Anolis sagrei: one gene and its partner. The protein of the gene in region 1 binds, or shares a complex with, the protein of each later gene. Links are inferred from orthologs where the notes say so. Each region holds a gene or a part of one and is shown on either strand. Other genes may lie near its edges. The genes, in order: LZTS1 and ASB7.

Region 1 (7,546 bases):
CGCCACCTGGGGCTCCAAAGTGACCTTAACAGATTAGAAAGCTGATTGGCCAAAACTAAGAAACTGAATTCCAACAGGAGAAATGTATGGTACTATACCGAAAGGTAAAGTGTGATGCGGCAGCTAAGAAAGCCAATGCAATTCTAGGTTGCATCAATGTGCACCTAGTGCGGAGTTCAGGAGAAGTCATCGCCCTGTTCTCTTCTGCTTTGATCAGACCTCATCTGGAATAACACTGTGCCCATTTCTGTGCATAGCAATTCAAGGACGTGGACAAGCTACAACACGTTCTGAGGAGTGCAACCAAAAGTGAGGGAGCTGGGTCTGTTGAAACATTCACACCTAGCTCCAGCAGACAAGAGTCCTTTGTCTCACCCTGGTCATTCCTTAGACATATAAACCCCTTTTCCTAGTTCCAACAGACCTCACTACCTCTGAGAATGCTTGCTATAGATGCAGGCGAAACGTCAGGAGAAATGCCTCTAGAACATGGCCATATAGCCCGAAAAAACCTACAACAACCCACTGGGTCAGTTTAGCTTGGAGAAAAGAAGGCTGAGAGAAGGAAACACCAGGGCCATGTTTACATTTCTGAAAGGATGGTGGAGGGGGTGAGCTTGTTCTCAGCTGTTCTGGAGACTGGGTTCAAAGGATAGGAAAAGAGGTTCCACTTAAACATTAGGATGGACTTCAGTCCTCAATGCTGCTGTTTTTCTCTAATGTGCAATTGTGTTTTATACGGATTGTTTATTTATGATGTTTTTATTTTATTTTATTGGTGCTTTTGTTTTAGTGGATTATTGCTTTTATGTATGTATGTATGTATGGTGGACTTTCTGTCCCATATGTAAGCCATCCCAAGTTCCTTTGGGGGAGATGGTGGTGGGGTAGAAGAATAAAGTTGTTGTTGTTGTTGTTATAGCAAGAGCTGGGCTCCCTGGTGGTACAGTGGGTTAAGCCGCTGAGCTGCTGAACTCTGAAAGGTTGGAGGTTTGAATTCACAGACTGGCGTGAGCTCCCACTGTTAGCCCAGCTCCTGCCAACCTAGCAGTTCAAAAACATGCAAATGTGTATAGATCAATAGGCACCACTCCAGTGGCATCTCCTTAATGCTTGGAGCTTCCGGACCGGGCTATCATACTATCACCGGCATTGGGTCCCAGCTATCATACTTTTGCCCCATTACGTCACCGCAGCTCCTTGGAGATGTGTTTGGACCTGATTACCAGGAGACCAGGTATGCCTTGAGACATCCCATCCCCAACCCTTTCACTCTGGACCCAGGAGCCTTTCTTCAGTGATAGTATAATAGCTGGGTCCGGAATCTCCAGGCATTATGGAGATGCCGCAAAGGTGGCTGTGAATAAGGGAAGAGAGGGGGCGGAGTGAGTGTGGGGAGAGTGAAGGGAGGATAGAAAGGAGGGGATGCTTAGGGTAAGGGTTAGGGCAAGGTTTTAGGTTTTGGATTAGGGTTACAGTTAAGGTACAGTCAGGGGTGGCTCAACCAATTATGCAAAGTAAGCATTCGCAGTATAGTTGATTTTGCCCAGGGGTGCTCTTGAGGCACTCTTGGGGGAAAATAGACCCTGACATATGTGAGTTGTAGTTACTGGGATGTATAGTTCACCTACAATCAAAGAGCATTCTGAACTCCACCAATGATGGAACTGAACCAAATATGGCACACAGAACCCCCACGACAAACAGAAAATATATATCAGTGATTGGTTGGGGGGGGGGGGGCAAAATAGTTTGCTTACCGTTGAAAATTACCTAGGGCCGCCTCTGCCCTTACCCTAACTGTAAGCCTAACTCAAACCCAAACCCTAAGCCTAGCCGTAACCCTGACCCTAAGCGTCCCCTCCTTTCTATCCTTCCTTCGCTCTCCTTGCTCTCCCTCTGCCCAGGGCCGTAGCCAGAAAAAGATTTCGTGAGGGGTTGAAATTTGGGGGGGGGGGGGTTTGAAAATTTCACAGGGGAGGGGTTGAAATCTGCCTCCTAGCTCACGCTGAAGCAAAGAGCACAGCAGGGGGCAGAGTACCCGTCCCTGTCATCCACCTCCACCAAGTCTGGCCTCCTTAATGAGAGCATTCAACACCCCCTCCCCCCAATTTGGTTGCTTCACTACATCGGCTATTGCTGCAAGTAATGACAGTGTGAATAAATTGTCAATATTTGCCTGAGATAGTGCTTGCAGTTCTGGAGGGACTCTTAATTTTTTGCATCTGATAGACTTAGCATGGGGATTTGGTTAACCAGTTAAAATTCATGAGTAAACCAGGTTTTTTTAAAAAAATCTGAAACATTTCGGGGGGGTGAACCCCCTCGCTACAGGCCTGCCTCTGCCCCTTCTCTTTCCTTATTCACAGCCACCTTTGCGGCATCTCCATAACGCTCGGAGCTTCCGGACCCAGCTATCATACTACCGCGGGCATTGAGTCCCCGCTATCATATTTTTTCCCCATTACGTCACCGCAGAAAATTGGATATGTGTTTGGACCTGATTACCAGGGGTCCAGGTATGCCTTGAGAGACATCCCATCCCGAAACCCTTCCACTCTGGACCCTGGAATCTTTCTTCTTTGCCTGCCTAGAGCTACATTCCTGCAAGCCGGGCCAAGAATGCAATCAACTTGGCGGCTGGAAACCCAAGAGGGCGCGCGCACAGCCCGGGGGTCTCTCTCTCTCTCTCTCTGTGGCGCGCGCTGGGACGCTGACGACATTACTGTCTGAGGGGGGGGGGGGAGGAAGAGAGGGGCTGCGCTTGTCCGGCTCGCCTCTGTGTTGACATGGCACGCGCGGGTCTTGCGTCTGAAGGGGACGGAAGGGGGAAAAGAGCGGGAAGAGCCCCTAGAGATGCCTCCCCAGGTCCCAAAGACCCCTTCCTTCCTTCCTTCCTTCCTTCCTTCCTTCCTTCCTTCCTTCCTTCCTTCCTTCCTTCCTTCCTTCCTTCCTTCCTTCCTTCCTTCCTTCCTTCCTTCCTTCCTTCCTTCCTTCCTTCCTTCCTTCCTTCCTTCCTTCCCTCCCTCCCTCCCTCCCTCCCTCCCTCCCTCCCTCTTACCTGGAGATGATGCTTTAGCTGAGATCGCCTCCTCTGCCTCTTTTCCCCTCAATTGGGGAGACTGACTGGAGTCAAGAGGGGGAGAGAAGGAACTGGGAGGCAAAGGGGGCGGGGCGTGTATTTGCATACCGGGCGCTAATTGGACAAAGTTTGGGCAAAGGAGGAGGGGGCGGGCTTTGTGCGCCGGGGAGGCAAGGGTGCAAGGGAGGCATCAATGGGTGTCCCAAGAGCCGGCACGTGTCGGGAGGGAGGAGGGAGGGAGGGATTGAGGAGGGGGCTCTGAGGCTTCTCGCTGCCAAACTCTCCCGCCCCCGTCCTTCCACATTTGTCGGTGGCTGTTACTGGGGAAAAACGGAGGGAAGGAAAGAGGGGAGCAAGGTGTTGATTGGAGAAGCCAGCCGAGCGCCCGCCGGAAGCGCTGGTTTGCTCAGCCTGGGGGTTGCCAGGTCGGCAGAATAGCCCCATTGGCAGCCAGGAAAGAAGGGGGACCTGGGGGTTCAAGGAGGGAGAACCCCAGCCCTAACTCTCTCTGCCCTGGTGCAGGCAGAGATGAGTCAAAAGCCATGCACATCTCTAGGTGGAAATGTGCTTTTATATCAGGTATGGGGCAACTTGGGCCCTCCGGGTGTTTTGGATTTCAACTCCCACAATTCCTAACAGCCAGTAGGCTGTTAGGAATTGTGGGGGTTGAAGTCCAAAACACCCGAGGGCCCAAGTTTGATTGTTGATTGGAGAAGCCAGCTGAGCGCCCGCCGGAAGCGCTGGTTTGCTCAGCCTGGGGGTTGCCAGGTCGGCAGAATAGCCCCATTGGCAGCCTCCGGGTGTTTTGGATTTCAACTCCCACAATTCCTAACAGCCAGTAGGCTGTTAGGAATTGTGGGGGTTGAAGTCCAAAACACCCGAGGGCCCAAGTTTGCCCATGACTGCATTAGGCTAAAAAGCAAACCAATAGGCTGTTAGGAATTGTGGGAGTTGAAATCCAAAACACCCGGAGGGCCTAAGTTGGCCCATGACTGCATTAGGATAAAAAGCAAATCGGTAGGCTGTTAGGAATTGTGGAAGTCCAAAACATCCAGAGGGCCCAAGTTTGCCCATGACTGCATTAGGCTAAAAAGCAAACCGGTAGGTTGTTAGGAATTATGGGAGTTGAAGTCCAAAACACCCGGAGGGCCCAAGTTTGCCCATGCCTGCTTTATAAGAAGGGACACCTGGTACCCCTATTCAGAGATACAGCAAATATCCAAGGCTGGGAGAAGATTTTCTCTCCATTCAAACTCTGTCTTCTTTTGTCAACATGCTTTAGTATGAGAAGGCCTCAGTGTTAGTTCACTTCAGTGTATGAGAGGTGTTAGTCTGAGAGAGCCCTCATTGTGAGAAGGGGTTCTGTAGTGGTTCATGTTGGGCAAGTGGGCTTATTAACCAAAGACCCTCCTTATCAATGTATGGCAGAGTAACTTATTAGCAGTGTGAGCCCAAAGTGATCAAAAACAAACAAACACATAGACCAATGTTGTCTCTTCCTTAGAAGGCTTTTTTATAGCAAAAAAGTATGGTTGCACTATTTACAAGAACACAATTTCCATAACACAAATAAAGTTCTTTACACTTCCTTCTTTGCTTCCATGCTGGGCTTCTTTCTCATTAAGATAAACAGCTTCGCTCTCACTGAGCTTCCTCTCATACTAAACTTAAACAGGAGCATCACACTGTAGCCTTTCACACACAGCATCCTCCACACTGGAGCTTTACACATGAGGCCTTCAATCTGGGGCTTCTCTCACCGAAGCCTTCTTACTCCAGGCCTCTCACACACTTGAGGCCTACCTCACACTGAGGTCTTCGCACACTGAGGGCTCTCTCAGACAAATGCCTCTCATACACAAGCCAGTTGGGTTTTGCATAGAATAGGAAGTGGCACCATCTTGATTTTTTGCTTCAGGTGGCACAATGCCTTAGGCCAACATCATCATAGCTTTCACTGGAGAAGGTTTCACTGTGGTGATGGTGCTGTTGCTGCTAATAATAATCTCTATCTACCCACTAAAATCTTAAAATCTTAAAAGATGATGCTGTCAAGGTGATGCATGCCATTTGCCAGCAAATATGGAAAACACAAGAATGGCCATCAGACTGGAAAAAATCAACTTATATCCCCATACTGATGCGGAGCATCTTTCCCCCCAAGTATTTGTAGTTCGTCAAGGGCCGGACAATGGATTCTGTTGCTTCCTGACCCAGCACACATAACTGGGTTCCTGTTTCCTCTCTGTGAATTCTCTGGCTTGTGTACTGGACCCTGGCCCCTGATCAGGGAAATGTAGTTTCCCAAAGGACACTGCTTCACAGATTGCAACCCAGAAGCCCCCCCCTTTGAACTCTCTTGCCTGCCCTCTCCTATTGACTTTCTGCTCCACATCCCGGACTGTTTTCAGCCACACTTTTGGACACAAACCTCAGACCAGGCTAGCTTGGAGGGACAAGCAGCCTCTAGCCTACATGCGCCTTCACCAAGGAGACTATGATTCCAACAAGAATGAAATACATTTATTATTGTTGTCTTTAATAAACTTTGCTGGGTTGGGGAAGGGGATTCATTTATGGAATGTATAAAGGATATGAAGCATGATGAGATGTATAAAATAGAAATCAATCATATGAAATGTACCCTGACCCTCTTCCCCACCTTTTTTCCCCTCTGAACCTTGCCCCAAAAAGGAATGTGACCTGAGGTTACTGTCAAGAGGAAATCCTATTTCCTCAAAGGTAAATCCATATTTGCATCTGCATGGCCGCAGTTGGTCTTATCTCAGGGCTCATTTTCAGAGTTCAGACAATGGGCTGAGAGATAAGTCAACAGAAACTCCGGTAAAAGGATGATTAACTCAACCTTTGGTATTTGTGCAGCTCCTTTGTTTACAGGGCTCCCCTGTTTACAGAGTTTTGAGATCCAAATACCATCATCAGCCCCTTTTCATATTTCCTCCAAATCTCATCAACAAAACCAGGAAGCCCTTTGTCCCCTCTGTCTGCCACCCCTTGACAAACACAAAGGCTCGGAAATCAGCTGGGGGACGCCTCCGGGGCGTCCCGCCTCCCCTAAGCTGTCAAACTTCATCCCGCCTCCTGGCCTCTGATTGGACCATCTCCGGAGGCGCTAGGAAGGCTCCGATTGGCCCCCTGGAGGCAGCAGCGCCCGCTGGTTGGTCAAGAGGCGGGACGTGCAGCCGAGCCTCCTCCCAGCTGTTCGGGGGCCAGCCAATCAGGGCGAAGCCAACCAGCAGAGGGTGGACGGGATTTTCAAACTGTTTTTCCTTTGTTCTGACAATATAAAAATGCCTGTAACTTCTATGAATGTATGCTTGTATGTGAACTATCACTACAATCGCATCCTTTTCAGCTGAATCGCAGAAATAAACGCTTCGGTCACTGGATACCTCTTCAGCCTCTGGTGGGATTAATTCTTAATATTTTGCGCTTTGGATTGGCTTTCGCTGGCTGCTCACCGAGGTCAAAGACCCCATTAGCGGTCTTTAGGGATCTCCCTTCCTGGGAGGGCCCCCCAAAAGAGCTCGATATCAATACCAAAAAAGGGAAATGCGAAAGACTGCTCAAACTTCCGTACAGTGGCCCTTATTTCTCATGCCAGTAAGGTAATGCTCAAGATCCTGCAAGGAAGACTCCAGCAATACATGGAGCGAGAGTTGCCAGATGTTCAAGCTGGGTTTAGAAAAGGTAGAGGAACGAGAGACCAGATTGCCAATATCCGCTGGATAATGGAGAAAAGCAGGGAGTTTCAGAAAAACATCTACTTCTGCTTCATTGACTATTCTAAAGCCTTTGACTGTGTGGATCATAATAAATTGTGGCAAGTTCTTAGTGGGATGGGCATCCCAAGCCACCTTGTCTCTCTCCTGAGGAATCTGTACAAGGACCAAGAAGCAACAGTAAGAACTGACCACGGAACAACAGACTGGTTCAAGATTGGGAAAGGCGTACGGCAAGGCTGCATACTCTCACCCAACCTTTTTAACTTGTATGCAGAACACATCATGCGATGTGCGGGGCTTGATGAATGCAAAGCTGGGGTGAAAATTGCTGGAAGAAACATTAACAACCTCAGATATGCAGATGACACCACTCTGATGGCCGAAAGCGAGGAGGAGCTGAGGAGCCTTCTAATCAAGGTGAAAGAAGAAAGCGCAAAAGCCGGGTTGCAGCTAAACGTCAAAAAAACCAAGATTATGGCAACAAGAATGATTGACAACTGGAAAATAGAGGGAGAAACCGTCGAGGCCGTGACAGACTTTGTATTTCTAGGTGCAAAGATTACTGCAGATGCAGACTGTGGCCAGGAAATCAGAAGACGCTTACTTCTTGGGAGGAGAGCAATGTCCAGTCTCGATAAAATAGTAAAGAGTAGAGACATCAGACTGGCAACAAAGATCCGCCTAGTCAAAGCCATGGTATTCCCTGTAGTCACCTACG
Region 2 (7,867 bases), on another chromosome or scaffold:
CGGCATTAGGAAGGTTGAGAACCACTGTGGTAGACTATTATCTATCTTGTGGTCTACTAGTCTATATAAATAATATAATGATTGTACATTATATATTACATGTAATATTGCCAATAATATTGCTGTCCAGTGGTATAGTACAATATAGTAATCTATCATACTAATATTGTGCCATGGCAATAATATGATATATTGTATATACATATAATATGGGTAATAATATTACAATGAAATACTTTATAATACTAACAATAATACAATATAATAATATAAAATAATATAGTAATATAGAATAATATTGTAACATAATAATACTAAAATGTTAAATACTTTACTTACTTAAGCGATTTCTCGTTGGTCTTCCATGATCAGTATTCTGGTGGATCCGTAGGTGACTGTGGAGCTCTATTCTTGACCCGCATCTTCTCCCTCAGTGAGGGCATTGGTTTCCAGGTGGAAGGCGGTCTCGGTCAGGGTTGGCTTGACGCGCCTTCCTCTTGGCACGTTTCTCCATTTCACCCTCCATTCGTACCTCTTCAAATTCTGCAGCACTGCTGGTCACAGCTGACCTCCAGCTGGATCGCTCAAGGGCCAGGGCTCCCCAGTTCTCAGTGTCTATGCCAGAGATTTTAAGGTTGGCTTTGAGCCCATCTTTAAATCTCTTTTCCTGTCCACCAACATTCAGTTTTCTGCTCTTGAGTTCGGAGTAGAGCAACTGCTTTGGGAGACAGTGGTCGGGCATCTGGACAATGTGGCCGATCCAGCGGAGTTGATGGCGGAGGACCATCGCTTCAATGCTGATGCTTCTTCCAGCATGCTGACGTTTGTCCGCCTGTCTTCCCAAGAGATTTGCAGGATTTTCTGGAGGCAGCGCTGATGGAATCGTTCCAGGAGTTGCATGTGATGTCTGTAGACAGTCCACGTTTCGCAGGCATATAGCAGGGTTGGGAGGGGAATAGCTTAATAAACAAGCACCTTGGTCTCCCTACGGATGTTCCGGTCCTCAAACACTCTCTGCTTCATTCGGAAAAATGCTGCACTTGCAGAGCTCAGGCAGTGATGTATTTCGGTGTCGATGTTGACTTTGGTGGAGAGGTGGCTGCCAAGGTAGTGGAAATGGTCAACATTTTCTAATGCTACACCATTAAGCTGTATCTCTGGCATTGGAGAGGGATTGGCTGGTGACTGCTGGAAGACCACTTTGAGCACTTTGGTCTGTAGACAGTTCATGTTTCGCAGGCATATAGCAGGATTGGAAGGACAATAGCTTTAAAGACAAGCACCTTGGTCTCCCTAAGGATGTCCCGGTCCTCAAACACTCTCTGCTTCATTCGGAAAAATGCTGCACTCGCAGAGCTCAGGCGGTGTTGTATTTCAGTGTCGATATTGACTTTGGTGGAGAGGTGGCTGCTAAGGTAGCGGAAATGGTCATATTTAATCGTCAATTAAATATAATACTATGAATAATATATAATATATAATGACAATACTGCTTTTTATTATTGTACATGTTAATGTATTGTCGAAGGCTTTCATGGCTGGAATCACTCAGTTCTTGTGGGTTTTTTCGGGCTATATAGAACATGGCCATATAGCCCGAAAAAACCCACAAGAACTGAGTGTACATTTTAAGTTGTCATGTTTTTGATTGTGAGCCGATTTGAGTCCTCGTAAGGAGAGAGAAAGTGGGATAGAAATCAATCAATCAATTAATAAAATAATAATAATAATACCTGCGTGACCGCATCTCTGTATATGAGCCCACACGATCCCTCCATTCATCTGGAGAGGCCCTACTCACGATCCCACCTGCGTCACAAGCGTTTTTGGTGGGGACGAGGGACAGGGCCTTCTCTGTGGTAGCCCCTCCCCCCGACTCTGGAACTCTCTCCCCAAGGACATCAGACATGCCCCAACGTTGGCAGTCTTTAGGAAGAGCTTGAAGACCTGGCTGTTCAGTGTGCCTTTCCAGAATAGGAAACTCCCAGCATCATGTCCCGGACGCACTTTACTAGAGATTTAAGATTGCCTGCACATTGCACCTACTCTAAAATCCTTATATTTCACCTGTCATGTCCAGCACTTCTTAATTTTATTCATTACATTTGGCTCGGCCCTAGTTTTAAATGTGTCATGATGTATTGTTTTAATGTTTTACTCTTATTGCTTTAATGTTTTATTGGTTTGCTTTATGAGTTTTATTGTTGTATTTGTTATGTTGTTGTTTTATTGAGGGCCTTGGCCTTAGTAAGCCGCACTGAGTCCTTCGGGAGATGTTAGCGGGGTACAAATAAAGTTAATAATAATAATAATAATAATAATAATAATAAATCATTCCCGACACCAAGAGTTTTTGCTTGTTTGCATGCTGGTTGCACGATCATCTATGCTGATGATCGTGCCATTACTGCTCAACCAGGGAGCTTTGAGACGGTAAAACAGAAGCTCTCCGAAACTCTAGGTGCTCTTACTGCCTATTATAGGGAAAACCAGCTGATCCCTAACCCATCTAAAACACAGACATGTGGCTTTCATCTCAAGAACAGACAAGCATCCCAAGCTCTGAGGATGGCCTGGGAAGGAATCCCACTGGAGCATTGCAGCACACCCAAATACCTGGGGGTCACTCTGGACCGTGCTCTGACCTACAAGAAGCACTGCCTGAACATCAAGCAAAAAGTGGGTGCCAGAAACAATATTATACGAAAGCTGACTGGCACAACCTGGGGATCACAACCAGATACAGTGTAGACATCTGCCCTTGCGCTATGCTACTCTGCTGCTGAGTATGCATGCCCAGTGTGGAACACATCTCACCACGTTAAAACAGTAGATGTGGCTCTTAATGAGACATGCCACATCACCACGGGGTGTCTGCGCCCTACACCACTGGAGAAATTACACTGTCTAGCTGGTATTGCACCACCTGACATCCGCCAGGAAGTAGCAGCCAATAGTGAAAGGACCAAGGCAGAGACATCTCCAGCTCATCCCCTGTTTGGGTATCAGCCAGCACGTCAACGACTTAAATCTAGAAATAGTTTTCTAAGATCTACAGAGACACTCGCTGGAACACCTCAGCAAGCGAGAGTCCAAAAGTGGCAGGCTCAAACCCAGTACGTCAACCAATGGCTGATACCAAATGAGAGACTTCCCCCTGGGCACACAGAAGACTGGGCGACTTGGAAGGCGCTCTGGCACCACGAGATGCAGAGCCAACCTTCAGAAATGGGGCTACAAAGTGGAATCCTCGACATGCGAGTGAGGAGAAGAGCAAACCACTGACCCCCTGCTGCAATGCAACCTGAGCCCAGCCACATGCACAATGGAGGACCTCCTTGTGGCAACACCAGAGGCACTCCAAGTGGCCAGATACTTGTCAAAGGACATTTAATCAACTACCAAAGTCACAAGTTTTGTATTTAGGTTCTTGTGGGTTTTTTCGAGCTATAGGGCCATGTTCTAGAGGCATTTCTTCGGGAGAGGCCCTTCTCTCCATCCCGCCTGCTTCACAGGTGCGGTTGGCGGGAACGAGAGATAGGGCCTTTTCTGTGGTGGCCCCTCGGCTTTGGAATGCCCTCCCTATAGAGATAAGATCAGCCTCTTCGCTGATGGTATTTCGTAAAAAACTGAAAACATGGATGTTTGAGCAAGCATTCGGTTAACCCGATGCAAGGAAATTCTTGACCTAGGACCGGCAATTACTGACAATGAAATAGGATCATGATTAAATTAAGAGACGCATTGGTCTGTATTGGTGGCCCAATACTGTGAAGTGTATATGTATATGTTTTATATTTTTAATTGGAATATTGTTGTTTTAATGTTGTTGTAAACCGCAATGAGTCGCCGTTTTAGGCTGAGATATTAGCGGTATACAAGCGTACTAAATAAATAAATAAATTTCTCCTGACGTTTCGCCTGCATCTATGGCAAGCATCCTCAGAGGTAGTGAGGTCTGTTGGAATTAGGACAATGGGTTTATATATCTGTGGAATGGCTGGGGTGGGGCAAAGAGCTTTTCTCTGCTGGAGCTAGGTGTGAATGTTTCAACTGACCGCCTTCATTAGCATTTGAAGGCCTGCCTGAGCCTGGGAAAATCTCTTGATGGGAGGTGTTAATCTGTGCCTGGTTGTTTCCTCTCTGTTGTTTTGCTGTTGTAATTTTAGAGTTTTTTTAATACTGGTAGCCAGATTTTGTTCATTTTCATGGTCTCTTCCTTTCTGTTGAAATTGTCCACATGCTTGTGGATTTCAATGGCTTCTCTGTGTAGTCTGACATGGTGGTTGTTGGTGTGGTCCAGCATTTCTGTGTTCTCAAATAATATGGCTGACTTATCTGGTTGAAGTAGTCTGCAGTTTTGTATTTGTCTGTTTGTTTGCTTTGTTCTGTTAGAAATGTAATATAATGGACTGGTTGCTCTGACAGGACAAATAAATAAATAAATAAAAACCAAGAGTTTTTGAAAGTGGTGTCGCTTTGATGCCGGAAATGTGCAGAAACGTGTTGCTGTAAGATTTGTCACCCTCTTAGAGGTTGTGAAGGAGCAGAAAGGAGGAAAAAAAGTGGTCGAGGCGTTTGGGACGCTGGCGCCGTCCAATGGCGTGACGGCGCGAGGCGGGAGGCGGGCGCGGATTGGCTGGGAGAGGAGGTCAGGCCCTGCCCGGTGACCCCGGGCGAAAAGAGAGACAGGAAGGAAGCAGAAGGAAGGAGGTAGCAGCAGCAGCGGCGGCGTCTTCTCCTTCTTCTCCTCGCCTTCTCCAGCCAGGCGTCTCCTCCCGGGTCCCTTCTCTGCCTTCTGAATGAGGAAGAGGTGCCGGGAGAGGGAGGCTGACTGACAGGTAACGGCCGGCGCGGGGGCGGGACTTGGCGGCCCCTCGACCAATCCAGGGAGGAAAAGGCCCCCGACCCGGGCCTCCCGGGCCTCTTCCTTGGTGGTCGCGCACGCCGCCCCCGTGATGCCATTCGATGCCAGGAGTGGGGTCGCCTCTCACGGGATGCCAGGGTGCCTCCCACTTGACCAAGCTGTAGGGTGGGGATTGTTGTGATTATGACCATTATGGCCCCTTCCACACAGCTGAATAGAACCCACATAATTCTGCTTTGAACTGGGTTATATGGAAGTTGGGACTGAGGGCCCTTCCACACAGCCCTCTATCCCAGAATATCAAGGTGGAATATCCCCCATTATCTGAATGTGGGCTCTGATAACCCAGTTCAAAGCAGATATGGTGGGATTGTATGACTTGATATTCTGGGATAGAAGGGCCCTCAGATAACCCTTCCACACAGCCATATAACTCAGGACATCTAGGCAGATCATCCACAATAGCTGGTTTGAACTGGGTTATCTGAGTCCACACTGCCATATAACCCAGTTCAATGTGGATTTTATACAGCTGCGTGGAAGGGTTCTAGGGCCCTTCCACACAGCCCTCTATCCCAGAATATCAAGGCGGAAAATCCCACGTTATCATAGAATCCCACGAACTGGGTTATATGGCAGTGTGGACTCTTATAACCCAGTTCAAAGCAGATATGGTGGGATTCTATGCCTTGATATCCTGGGATGGAAGGGCCCTCAGATAACCCAGGCCCCTTCCACACAGCCGTATAACTCAGGACATCTAGGCAGATCATCCACAATAGCTTCTTTGAACTGGGTTATCTGAGTCCACACTGCCATATAACCCAGTTCAATGTGGATTTTATACATCTGTGTGGAAGGGTTCTAGGGCCCCTCCACACAGCTCTATATCCCAGAATATCAAGGCCCTCAGATAACCCAGGCCTCTTCCACACAACCGTATAACTCAGGACATCAAGGCAGATCATCCACAATAGCTACTTTGAACTGGGTTATCTGAGTCCACACTGCCATATAACCCAGTTCAATGTGGATTTTATACATCTGTGTGGAAGGGTTCTAGGGCCCTTCCACACAGCTCTATATACCAGAATATCAAGGCCCTCAGATAACCCAGGCCCTTTCCACACAGCTATATAACTCAAGACATCCACAATAGCTGGTTTGAACTGGGTTATCTGAGTCCACACTGTCATATAACCCAGTTCAGTGTGGATTTTATACAGCTGCGTGGAAGGGTTCTAAGGCCCTTCCACACAGCCCTGTATCCCAGAATATCAAGTCAGAAAATCCCACATTATCAGAGTGTGGACTCTGATATCCCAGTTCAAAGCAGATATTGTGGGATTGTATGCCTTTATATTCTGGGATAGAAGGGCCCTCAGATAACCCAGGCTACTTCCACACAGCTATATAACTCAGGACATCAAGGCAGATCATCCACCATAGCTGGTTTGAATTGGGTTATTTGAGTCCACACTGCCATATAACCCAGTTCAGTGTGGATTTTATACAGCTGTGTGGAAGGGTTCTAGGGCCCTTCCACGCAACTCTATATCCCAGAATATCAAGGCAGAAAATCCCACATTATCAGAGTGTGGACTCTTATAACCCAGTTCAAAGCAGACATTGTAGGATTGTATGCCTTGATATTCTGGGATAGAAGGGCCCTCAGATAATCTGGCCCCTTCCACACAGCTATATAACTCAGGACATCAAGACAGATCATCCACAATATATTGTCAAAGGCTTTCATTGCCGGAATCAACTGGGTTGTAGGTTTTTTCGGGCTATATGGCCATGGTTCCGGCCCAGCTTATCTATCCGAACGCATCTCTTCCTACGAGCCCTCCAGGAAGTTAAGATCATCTGAGGAGGCCCTGCTCTCGATCCCGTCTGCTTCGCAAGCACGCTTGGCGGGGACGAGGGACAGGGCCTTTTCTGTGGTGGCCCCTCGGCTATGGAACTCCCTGCCTAGGGATATTAGATCAGCCCCCTCCCTCCTGACTTTTCGGAAGAAAGTAAAAACCTGGCTCTTCGAGGAAGCCTTCGGAACCTCGGAATAGATAGTCAAACTTGAGATGGAGAATGACCCAGGAACAGCCAAGACGATGAAATGGATGAGGATTGGAATGAGAGGATATAGCTCTTTTTAAATTGTTATTGCACTGTCTTTTTTGTCTAAATGCACTTAATTGTTTTTGCTGTTGTATTGTATTGATGGCATCGAATTGTGCCGATATGTAGTCGCCTGCGGGCTGAGTCACCTGCGGGCTGATATGGGCAGGATATAAGTGATGTAAATAAATAATAAATAAATGGTCTAGAGGCATTCTCTCCTGACCTTTCGCCTGCATTTATGGCCAGCATCCTCAGAGGTAGTGAGGTCTGTTGGAACGAGGAAAAAGGGTTTATATATCTGTGGAATGACCAGGGTGGGACAAAGAACTCTTGTCTGCTGGAGCTAGGTGTGAATGTTTCAACTGACCACCTTGATTAGCATATAATGGCCTGACAGTGCCTAGAGCAAACCTTTTCTGAGAGGTGATTAGATGTCCTTGTTTGTTTCCTCTCTGTTGTTGTGCTATTGTAATTTTAGAGTTTTTTAATACTGGTAGCCAGATTTTGTTCATTTTCATGGTTTCCTCCTTTCTGTTGAAATTATTATTATTATTAAACTTTATTTGTACCCCGCTAGCATCTCCCGAAGGACTCGATGCGGCTTACAAAGACCAAGGCCTCAACAACAACAACAGACAATAACAATATAATACAAGCAAATTAAAAACATAAGCAATAACAACAACAAAACATTACACTATTACACAATAAAACCAGGGCCGGGCAAATAAAGGGTACAGGTTAAAAGTGCTGGGTGTAAGAGGTGATATGTTGGGATTCTGGGTAAGTGCAATGTGCAGAGAGTCTTAAGCTCTAATAAAGTGTTTCTGGGATGTAGTGCTGGAGGTTATCCTATTCCAGAAAGGCACATCGGAATAG

Evidence for each region.
Region 2: the proteins of LZTS1 (region 1) and ASB7 are in contact, whole or in part, in a crystal structure (PDB 8Y1U), measured with the Homo sapiens proteins. The link is inferred for Anolis sagrei from reciprocal best matches to the Homo sapiens genes LZTS1 and ASB7. Residues at the interface, in NP_001349813.1 of Homo sapiens: Arg346, Glu348, Leu349, Leu352, Met353, Glu355, Gln356, Leu358, Leu359, Glu360, Lys362, Leu363, Arg364, Ser365, Tyr366; in NP_937886.1 of Homo sapiens: Asn46, Trp48, Ala56, Ile79, Phe82, Tyr87, Met90, His91, Asp116, Trp118, Val123, His126, Tyr127, Ser147, Lys149, Thr151, Gln155, Leu156, Ile159, Arg160, Phe182, Arg185, Tyr186, Ile189, Lys190, Arg210, Leu220, Leu223.

The regions. Positions count from the first base shown.
Region 1 is NC_090027.1:14,588,947-14,596,492, reverse strand, and holds the start of LZTS1 (leucine zipper putative tumor suppressor 1), read right to left. Parts: upstream 3,179-7,546; 5' UTR 3,062-3,178; intron 1-3,061. UniProt on the Homo sapiens protein: Involved in the regulation of cell growth. May stabilize the active CDC2-cyclin B1 complex and thereby contribute to the regulation of the cell cycle and the prevention of uncontrolled cell proliferation. May act as a tumor suppressor.
Region 2 is NC_090029.1:13,385,754-13,393,620, reverse strand, and holds the start of ASB7 (ankyrin repeat and SOCS box protein 7), read left to right. Parts: upstream 1-4,692; 5' UTR 4,693-4,841; intron 4,842-7,867. UniProt on the Homo sapiens protein: Probable substrate-recognition component of a SCF-like ECS (Elongin-Cullin-SOCS-box protein) E3 ubiquitin-protein ligase complex which mediates the ubiquitination and subsequent proteasomal degradation of target proteins.